2 linked regions of the Nothobranchius furzeri genome follow. The protein of the gene in region 1 interacts with the protein of each later gene in a biochemical or structural test. Links are inferred from orthologs where the notes say so. Each region holds a gene or a part of one and is shown on either strand. Other genes may lie near its edges. The genes, in order: prpf40a and splicing factor U2AF 65 kDa subunit.

What was found.
Region 2: the proteins of prpf40a (region 1) and splicing factor U2AF 65 kDa subunit form a complex in vitro, tested with the Homo sapiens proteins (2 studies listed by BioGRID). The link is inferred for Nothobranchius furzeri from reciprocal best matches to the Homo sapiens genes PRPF40A and U2AF2.

Annotation. Positions count from the first base shown.
Region 1 is NC_091754.1:18,353,185-18,357,454, forward strand, and holds the start of prpf40a (pre-mRNA-processing factor 40 homolog A), read right to left. Parts: upstream 2,995-4,270; 5' UTR 2,899-2,994; coding exon 2,896-2,898; intron 1,651-2,895; coding exon 1,570-1,650; intron 1,488-1,569; coding exon 1,347-1,487; intron 534-1,346; coding exon 450-533; intron 212-449; coding exon 193-211; intron 98-192; coding exon 78-97; intron 1-77.
Region 2 is NC_091745.1:76,211,519-76,215,080, reverse strand, and holds the end of splicing factor U2AF 65 kDa subunit, read right to left. Parts: intron 3,020-3,562; coding exon 2,916-3,019; intron 2,790-2,915; coding exon 2,638-2,789; intron 2,531-2,637; coding exon 2,414-2,530; intron 2,109-2,413; coding exon 1,952-2,108; intron 1,839-1,951; coding exon 1,759-1,838; intron 1,597-1,758; coding exon 1,474-1,596; intron 1,398-1,473; coding exon 1,311-1,397; intron 1,058-1,310; coding exon 809-1,057; intron 724-808; coding exon 589-723; 3' UTR 539-588; downstream 1-538. UniProt on the Homo sapiens protein: Plays a role in pre-mRNA splicing and 3'-end processing. By recruiting PRPF19 and the PRP19C/Prp19 complex/NTC/Nineteen complex to the RNA polymerase II C-terminal domain (CTD), and thereby pre-mRNA, may couple transcription to splicing.

The sequences.
Region 1 (4,270 bases):
CAGACAGACAGACGTTAAAATATAAAAACCTGTCAACGTGTGATGAATGGATATGAAGGAAGCAGCAATAAACGTACGGTTGTTCCAGGCGCTGCAGCTGCAAGAATCAAGACAAAATAAATAAAATTCAGATTAACTTTCAATAAATACAAATGAAAAAAATTGATTTGTTAAAATTATTGTGGTTTTTACCTGTGGAGTCAACACCTGGCTGTGGAGAAAAAAAAAACATTTATTTGTGATTTACCAGTGACAGATACAAGAAAATTCACAGATTAGGTTGTTTTTCTTTACAAATATAAATAAAAAATATAAAAGAGTTACTTATACGTGTAAATGTTAGCATCAAACAGACTGCAGGTTATTTATAAGACGTGTGAAGCATCAAACACCCTGCTTTAGGGAAAAAAAAAAAAGAAGAAGAGGAGAAAAAATGGTGATAAAATTACCGGCCCCGTCGGTTGTACAGATGCAGCTGGGATGCGAGGTGGGATCATCATCCCCGGCATCATGGGCGGCATCATGCCTGCCATCTAATAAAAGAAGCGTTGTGAAACACTCATCTGCAACATTTGAAACCAAACTAGTGAAGGTGCCAAGTATTAAGACACAGTGTGAGAACGGGTGTCTGCGTTGTAACTTGGAGGAAAAAGGTGGGACTGGAGCTGAGTGCTTCTCTTATTTAGCTGTGTGAATACTTAGAGACACCAAACTGCATCTCAACTTCTCAAACTGGTGACACCTTTTCCCAAAATAAAAATAAAAATCACATTTTCAGTGTATCATGATCACATGCACTTACCAAAGTGAGCAAAAAAAATGCTTATTTGGTTTTAATTAAAAATAAAAAGGGGAATGAGAATATTGTAGAAGTAATTAGTCAACCAGTTACTTAACTTTGTATTCAGACCATTTTAAGAGTTGATATATTTTGACTTTCTGATTGAATCTGATAGTCTGCATGTTCTCCCTGTGCATGCGTGGGTTCTCTCCGGGCACTCCGGCTTCCTCCCACAGTCCAAAAACATGACTGTTAGGTTAATTGGTCTATCTAAATTGTCCTTAGGTGCGAGTGTGTGTGTGCATGATTGTTTGTCCTGTGTGTCTCTGTGTTGCCCTGCGGTGGACTGGCTCTCTGTCCAGGGTTTACACCACCTGATTGCCCATTGACCGCTGGAGATAGGCACCAGCCCCCCCGCGGCCCAACGTGGACAAAGCAGGTCAGACAATGGATGGATGGATTAAATCTGATTTACATGTAATGGTTGGAACAAAGAAACGATAAAGAACTACAAATGCACAAATATGTAGGCCAAATATATTTTTTAACAAAAACAGAAGTCTACCTGTCCCATTGGTGGTGCAGCCATAGGTGGCATAATGCCAGGGGGCATTATACCAGGTGGCAATGGGGTCATACTGGGTGGTCGCTGGGCCATAGGAGGAATTCCCATGGCAGGGTAGTGAGGCATACCCGGCGGTCCCATCTAGTCATGGAATTACATTACAAGATGTCAGAAAATAATAAATAAATAAATAACAGTTGTTGTAAACATTTTCATAACTTACATATGGGGGAGGTATTGCTGCGGGGGGTACAACTGGATAAGACGCTGCCTGACTCGAGCCAGTACTGTTCTCTGATGAAGACTGTAATAAGAACACCACAAATGTAGTAGAACATTAGCAGTGTGTGCATCATTCATTTACTTTAAAAAAAAAAGTCCAAACTTTTGACAGGATGGCACAATTTGTAATGTAGAAGCCTGAAAGGTCAGAGGCCACTAGAAACAAGTTTCAGTGAGTATTAGGGTCTCGGTTGCAGCAGGGACATTTCTGGGAGCCAGTTTTTTTCCACAGCCATTGCAATGCTTTATGTAAAAACTGCCGCACAGGCTTGAATATCTGCTTTAAAACTTTGATATTGCACCATAGTTAAAAAAAAGTTCCAATTTTTTAGTTGCTGTTTTTAGTGGTAGGTTACAAAAAAATGCTCACTGCCTGTGTGTATTTACCTGTACCTTTGTTAATTTTTTCATTCTCCCTGGTTTTTTTTTTCAATGTATGCGCTGCTGTAACGAGTGAATTTCCCCAATGTGGGATTAATAAAGTCAATTCTATTCTTCATCAACTCATTTGATCCAATTTCTGACTGCTGACAGCAGTTTTATTCATTTTGTACATCCGGCCCTGCTGTTAAAATGTGTTAATATTTTATGTATGGCTAAAATATGATCTAACACACGAATTTAAAGTAAAACAGAGTCATCACATTTCCCATCAACACCAAAGATGTGGGAACAGCTAAAATACTGGATTGCAATTAACAATGTTCCCACTAAATGTGGTTAACTGACATAAACACGGACAGTAAATTGAATTAGTCCGATCTTATCTTAAATTATTAAACGTACACAGCCGTTTCTGCAACGGTGGTTAGGAGTCCTGACAATGATAGCAGCTAGTTTTGATTAAGAATTACTACACTGGCAGGCTTCGTCTAAATCCTGGGAAAATTGTTAAAGGTGAACGGCAAAACTTTAACGAGTTAATAAATGGCCCCTGTTTACACCCCACGCTAGAAACACCGTTAAGAGTGCCTAATGAAGTGACACATTAACAAGTCAAAACATCTCTAGTGTTGCTTGAACTTTAGATTTTGCACTGCAGCTTTTATTCCGGGTGATACACTACGCCATGACATGATATGCGGCTAAACTCAATGCTAACACATACGCTAACCCGTGGTCTACAGCAAAACATCGCTCTCCTTCGCAGCAAAAGTAAAGACGCGGATTTTATAACGAAAAAAATATATATCTCATTCGAACCACCGCTAACTTAAAACGGTATTATCTTTGTTCCAGAACTTTTCTTAAGAGCGGCTACACTCACCATGTTGACGAGGACCTCTGCTAAATCCGAACACCTTTCAGCAACGACCACAGCGATTGGTTCAAGCTGCTCGTGACGAAGGTAGGTCAAATGATGAGCTTCTTTAATGACATCCTGCGTCGAAAATGCGCATCACTGCAAGAGACTGCGCAATCAAGACACGAGCTCGCTTGAGTATCACAAAATAAAATAAACATTAAATAATTTTTTTAAATAAATACATAAAAAAACTTGAAATATCTGGCACCAAGCCAGCCTAAGGCTGTCTATATCCCTATTTATCAGTCTCTATCTCTATATATCAAAGGTGTGACCAAGTCACTGCTTTGCAAGTCACATGTCTTTCCAGTCAAGTCTCAAGTCAAGTTCAAGTGAAAGACAAGTCCAAGTCGAGACCAAAGTCAATAATGTGAAAGTCCAAATCAAGTCCAAGTCCTTATCTTTGAATTTTCAAGTCATAATGAAGTCATCTGTCAAACTTCAATTTAATGACAATGATAATAAATAAATTCCAGAAATAAAGCTTCTGAAAGCTTAATACATTTGCTCAAACAAGCAGAAAGTGCAACTGAAATTGATTATAAACAAAGTGCTGCTGCATTAGCAGTACAAAATCAAACCCAGAACGAAGAATGATTTATGATTTTTGTCCATGTTGTGCCACTTTTGTTCTAAAATATCAAATATGCTCAAGTCATCATCAAGTCAACAGATGCAAGTTGATTCAAGTCGCAAGTCATTGGCGTTCAAGTCCGAGTCAAGTCGTAAGTCTTTATAGATTTTATCAAGTCAAGTCAGAAGGCATTAAAATAAGTCATGTGACTTGAGTCCACACCTCTGCTATATATGTTCATTTATTTGGCAGACGCTTTTATCCAAAGTGACCTACAATTGTAACCTATAGGGTGCTTCACATAAACAAACAAACAAAAAAATCAATTAAAGTATCAAAAAGTTATTAATAATATGCTTAAAATGAGAAAAAATATTACATTTGTGATTAAAGAAAAATAATGTAAGCAAAGGGAGAGAGACAGTGAATAGGGAAGAGGGAAATCAGTAGATCAAGATAAAGTAGATAATGGTGGAATAAGTAAAAAGAGCAAAATAAAGAAAGGGTGGTGAAAAAGGTCACACAAAAGCCAGCTTGAAAAGGTGGGCTTTCAGCTGCTTTTTAAAGGAGTCCACTGATCTCATGCTCAGGGGGAGAGAGTTCCAGAGTCTGGGGGCCACAGCAGCAAATTATCTATCACCTTTGGTCTTTAGCCTGGTGTGCTGCACAACCAGTAGGCTTTGGTCGCTGGACCTCAGGGACCTGCTGGGGGTGTAGGGACTGAGAAGATCACCAATGTGTGATGGTGCTTGTCCATGTAAG
Region 2 (3,562 bases), on another chromosome or scaffold:
GTTACAGCTACTGTGTATCTACATTGGATCATCAAACAACAACGCCCATCACACCATCTCCTTTTAGTTTCCAACTCTTCTCAATCAGAATTTTCCAGTAGCTCCGTGCTGCAGATCCTCTCTAAATGTACTTAAAACAGGTCGACTCCATTTAAATACAAACCTTTGAAGCGTGGCTCCCTGTTCCCACCCAAAAAAACAACATCCATGTCTCACAAAGTATAAAAAAAAAATTCTCGACCCACCCCGGCCCCGTTATTACACACATTTCTCAAATTTCATACACATCCCAACCCACCCAGCTACACGACTACCGCCCCAAACCGAGCCCGGTGTTACATTTAAAATAAACACACGCCATTCCTCTCCTCCTCCCTGCCACACTGGTGCTAAATGCTCAACACGTCACGTAGATCTCCTTTAATTAACCGGACATCACCAAAGCCGTTCGCCAAACGATTAACAGTCCGAGATCTACCTGAAATGCTGCTCAGCCAAAATCACTCCGAGGGCTATTTGGAAACAGGCAGTACATGCTACACTCCCTCCCTCCCCCCTCCCTCCCCTTTCCCTCTCATCGTCCCCCCTCTACCAGAAGTCCCGGCGGTGATAAGCATCTGGATCGCAGTATTTCGTTACCACCACCCTGTTGGCAAACTTCCTTCCAGTCAGCCCCTGCATGGCCTTCTGGGCATCAAAAACTGAAGTGAACTCCACAAAAATCTGTGAAGCGAGGGAAAACAAGAGGCACGGTTATGATTTGCTGATCCATCAAAGCGCTTTACATCAGAATCTGAAGGTTGCCTACCTTGCCCGTCCCAGGTATGTCCAGGCCGTCCACCGGACGAGGGATCTCGATGCTTTTCACTTGGCCGTACTTGCTGCACTCCTCCCTGACGTCTTCCACAATCTCCTCATATTCTTCATCGTCCAGGAGCTCCTCGGGGGCCACCATGTTCATCAGGCACAGCACCTCAGTGGGCAGGCCACCCATCTGAGTGACGGAGCTGTTCAAACCCGGCACCTGCAGCGTCACCGGGGTCTGGTTTATAGTTGTCTGGAGAAAAAACAACAACAAAGACTTTCACGTTCAGGCTTCTGCATACCGCCATAGATCCACCCTAAACACAAGCGCACAGCTTCATATTCAGTACACGACTTGGCTGAAAAGACGTATATTTGTCCTGGTTAGAACTGAACAGACGAGGAGCTGCAGCAGATCTATTCAGCAATCTGTCTCGGTCCGTTTTAGAACCGACATCCAGCCTCCCACCGTTCTGCTGTCATTCACCCAGCAGCTGGAGCCTCACCAGAGTGGCGTTCTTGGATCCCACGCTAGCCCTCTGCACCAGGAGCTTCTTGTCTCCGAGCTGCATGCCGTTCAGTCCAGCGATAGCCTGTGCAGACAGCCAAAGCTCAGTGACCCGTTTCCAGAAAGGTTCCACCACAGACGTACCTGCTGGGACCCGTTACCTGATCGTTCAGGTTGACATCAACATATTCACAGAAGGCATATCCTTTAGATAGGCCTGTGGCACTGTCTTTTACCAGGTTAAAGGCCTTCAGAGGGCCAAACGACGTCAACAACTCCTTCACCTGAAACACGAGAGTTCACGCGAGTTTAGATGGAAACTAAAGCAAACAAGATTAATGTCAACTTTTTATTTCATTCGGTTCATTTCAACACCAAAATGTCACCAATAAGAAAACACACATGAATGCTAAGCACCAGGATGGCACTTAGACTGCAACACCGACCTGGTCATCGTTCAGATAATTGGGCAATCCACCAATAAAGAGCTTGTGAGCCGAGTCTGGGACCACTGTGGACACCACTCCTGCAAAATGTGCAAGGACAAGAACGAGTCTGAGGAACCCGAGAAGAGGCTCACGTGGATATTGAGTGATCAAATGTTTATGTATACTTGTAGCAAAATGTAAGGATAAAAACCATTAATTGTCTGTGTACCAGGCACATAGACACTGGGGTTCTCGCTCATGCCGGGCAGTGGCTGGTAGTCGTGCGGACGACGGATTTTAAGGCTTTGGCCTTGAAAGATGATGCCATCAAAGGCCATTGCCTGTGTCGTTTCATCCACTGAACGAAACTGAACAGAAACATTTAAAAACACACAAACAAGATCCAACGAGAGTTCAGGAATACTTCAGAGCAGGAGTAGGGAACCCTGGTCCTGGAGAGCCGCCAGCCAACACGTTTTAGGTTTCCCTGCTCCGACACAGAGGATTCACCAGTTTAGCAGCTCATCAGCCTCTACAGAAGCCTGTTAATAGCCTGCTGTTTAAAATCAGATGTGTTGAAGCAGGGAAACCTCTAAAACGTGTTGGATCGGGACCAGGGTTCCCTAACCCTGCTCCTGAGGATCATTAATGACCATCACGGGATGTTTCTCACCTCAAGGAAGGCAAAGTTCTTGTCCTGGTTGATCTGTACAGCGAGGACAGGATTTCCAGGGGCCTGAGTAAGACCACCTAAACGCATCTGAGCGTTAAAGAAGTCCATCATGGACTCCTACACACACACGCACACACACACACGCACACGCACACACACACACAAAGAGTAAAGGTCATTAAAACGATATTATCCAAACCGAAATATGCTTTTCTGTTTCTCACCTCTGTGATACCAAAGGGGATGTTGCCAACATAAAGACGGCGGGCCTGCCGGGTCATCTGGCTGCCCACCACAGGTACGGGGGTGGGGGTTACAGCCAGGCCGTCTGGGGTCATGGTCGGCAGGAGGGCGGTGGCTGGAATTTGTCCTGCCGCTGAAAAACACGAAACACAAAGTTATAATCTTCCATTTTACCACACTACCATCATATCTACATCACATAGAGGTTTCAGTACCGCGATGGATAACATCCCAACTATAAATGTATCAAACTTGTTACCCTGCATGGCTTTGTACTGCATGGGAGTGATGTGTTCAAATCCAGGCGGAGGGACATCCCAGTACTTCTTTATCTTCTTCTTCTTCTCACGCTGAGGAGAACGGCTGTTTGACAAAAAGAAAAAAGTGAAATAAATTTAACTCACGTTTTGATTAAATACAGGGTGATTTGCTGAAATATATTAAGAAATAATGATTTTAAGACCAAATTCACTCATTTAAGCAACACATTTGCTGTTGTCTCTGGTATAAACGAGTTAATCTCTGAGGAAAAAAGCTCTGAAGCTCCAGTTTCAGAAACTCAAAGTGAGCCAGAGCAGAGTTGAGTTTCAGACGGAGGATTTGGACTCTTAGTTCCTGATATTTGAACATATCACCTCTGATTGGATAACAGCAATGTGACTCTACAACTGACTGTTAGCTCTGGAACGTTGATGTTTTATCTCCAAACATAAAACCAGCCTGGAGGAGTTCTGCTGTGTGGTGGAGTTGCAAATGCTAATGGCTAGCTTCTACTAGTTGAGATGTTTTCTGCGGTTTTCTAGACACTAAAACAACAACAGCCTTCCCCGTCGCGAGCCAAGATGGGTGAGTCCACGAACGTTAACTTGACTATGGCCGTGTTCGAGATGAGCCAGTTCTGCGCAG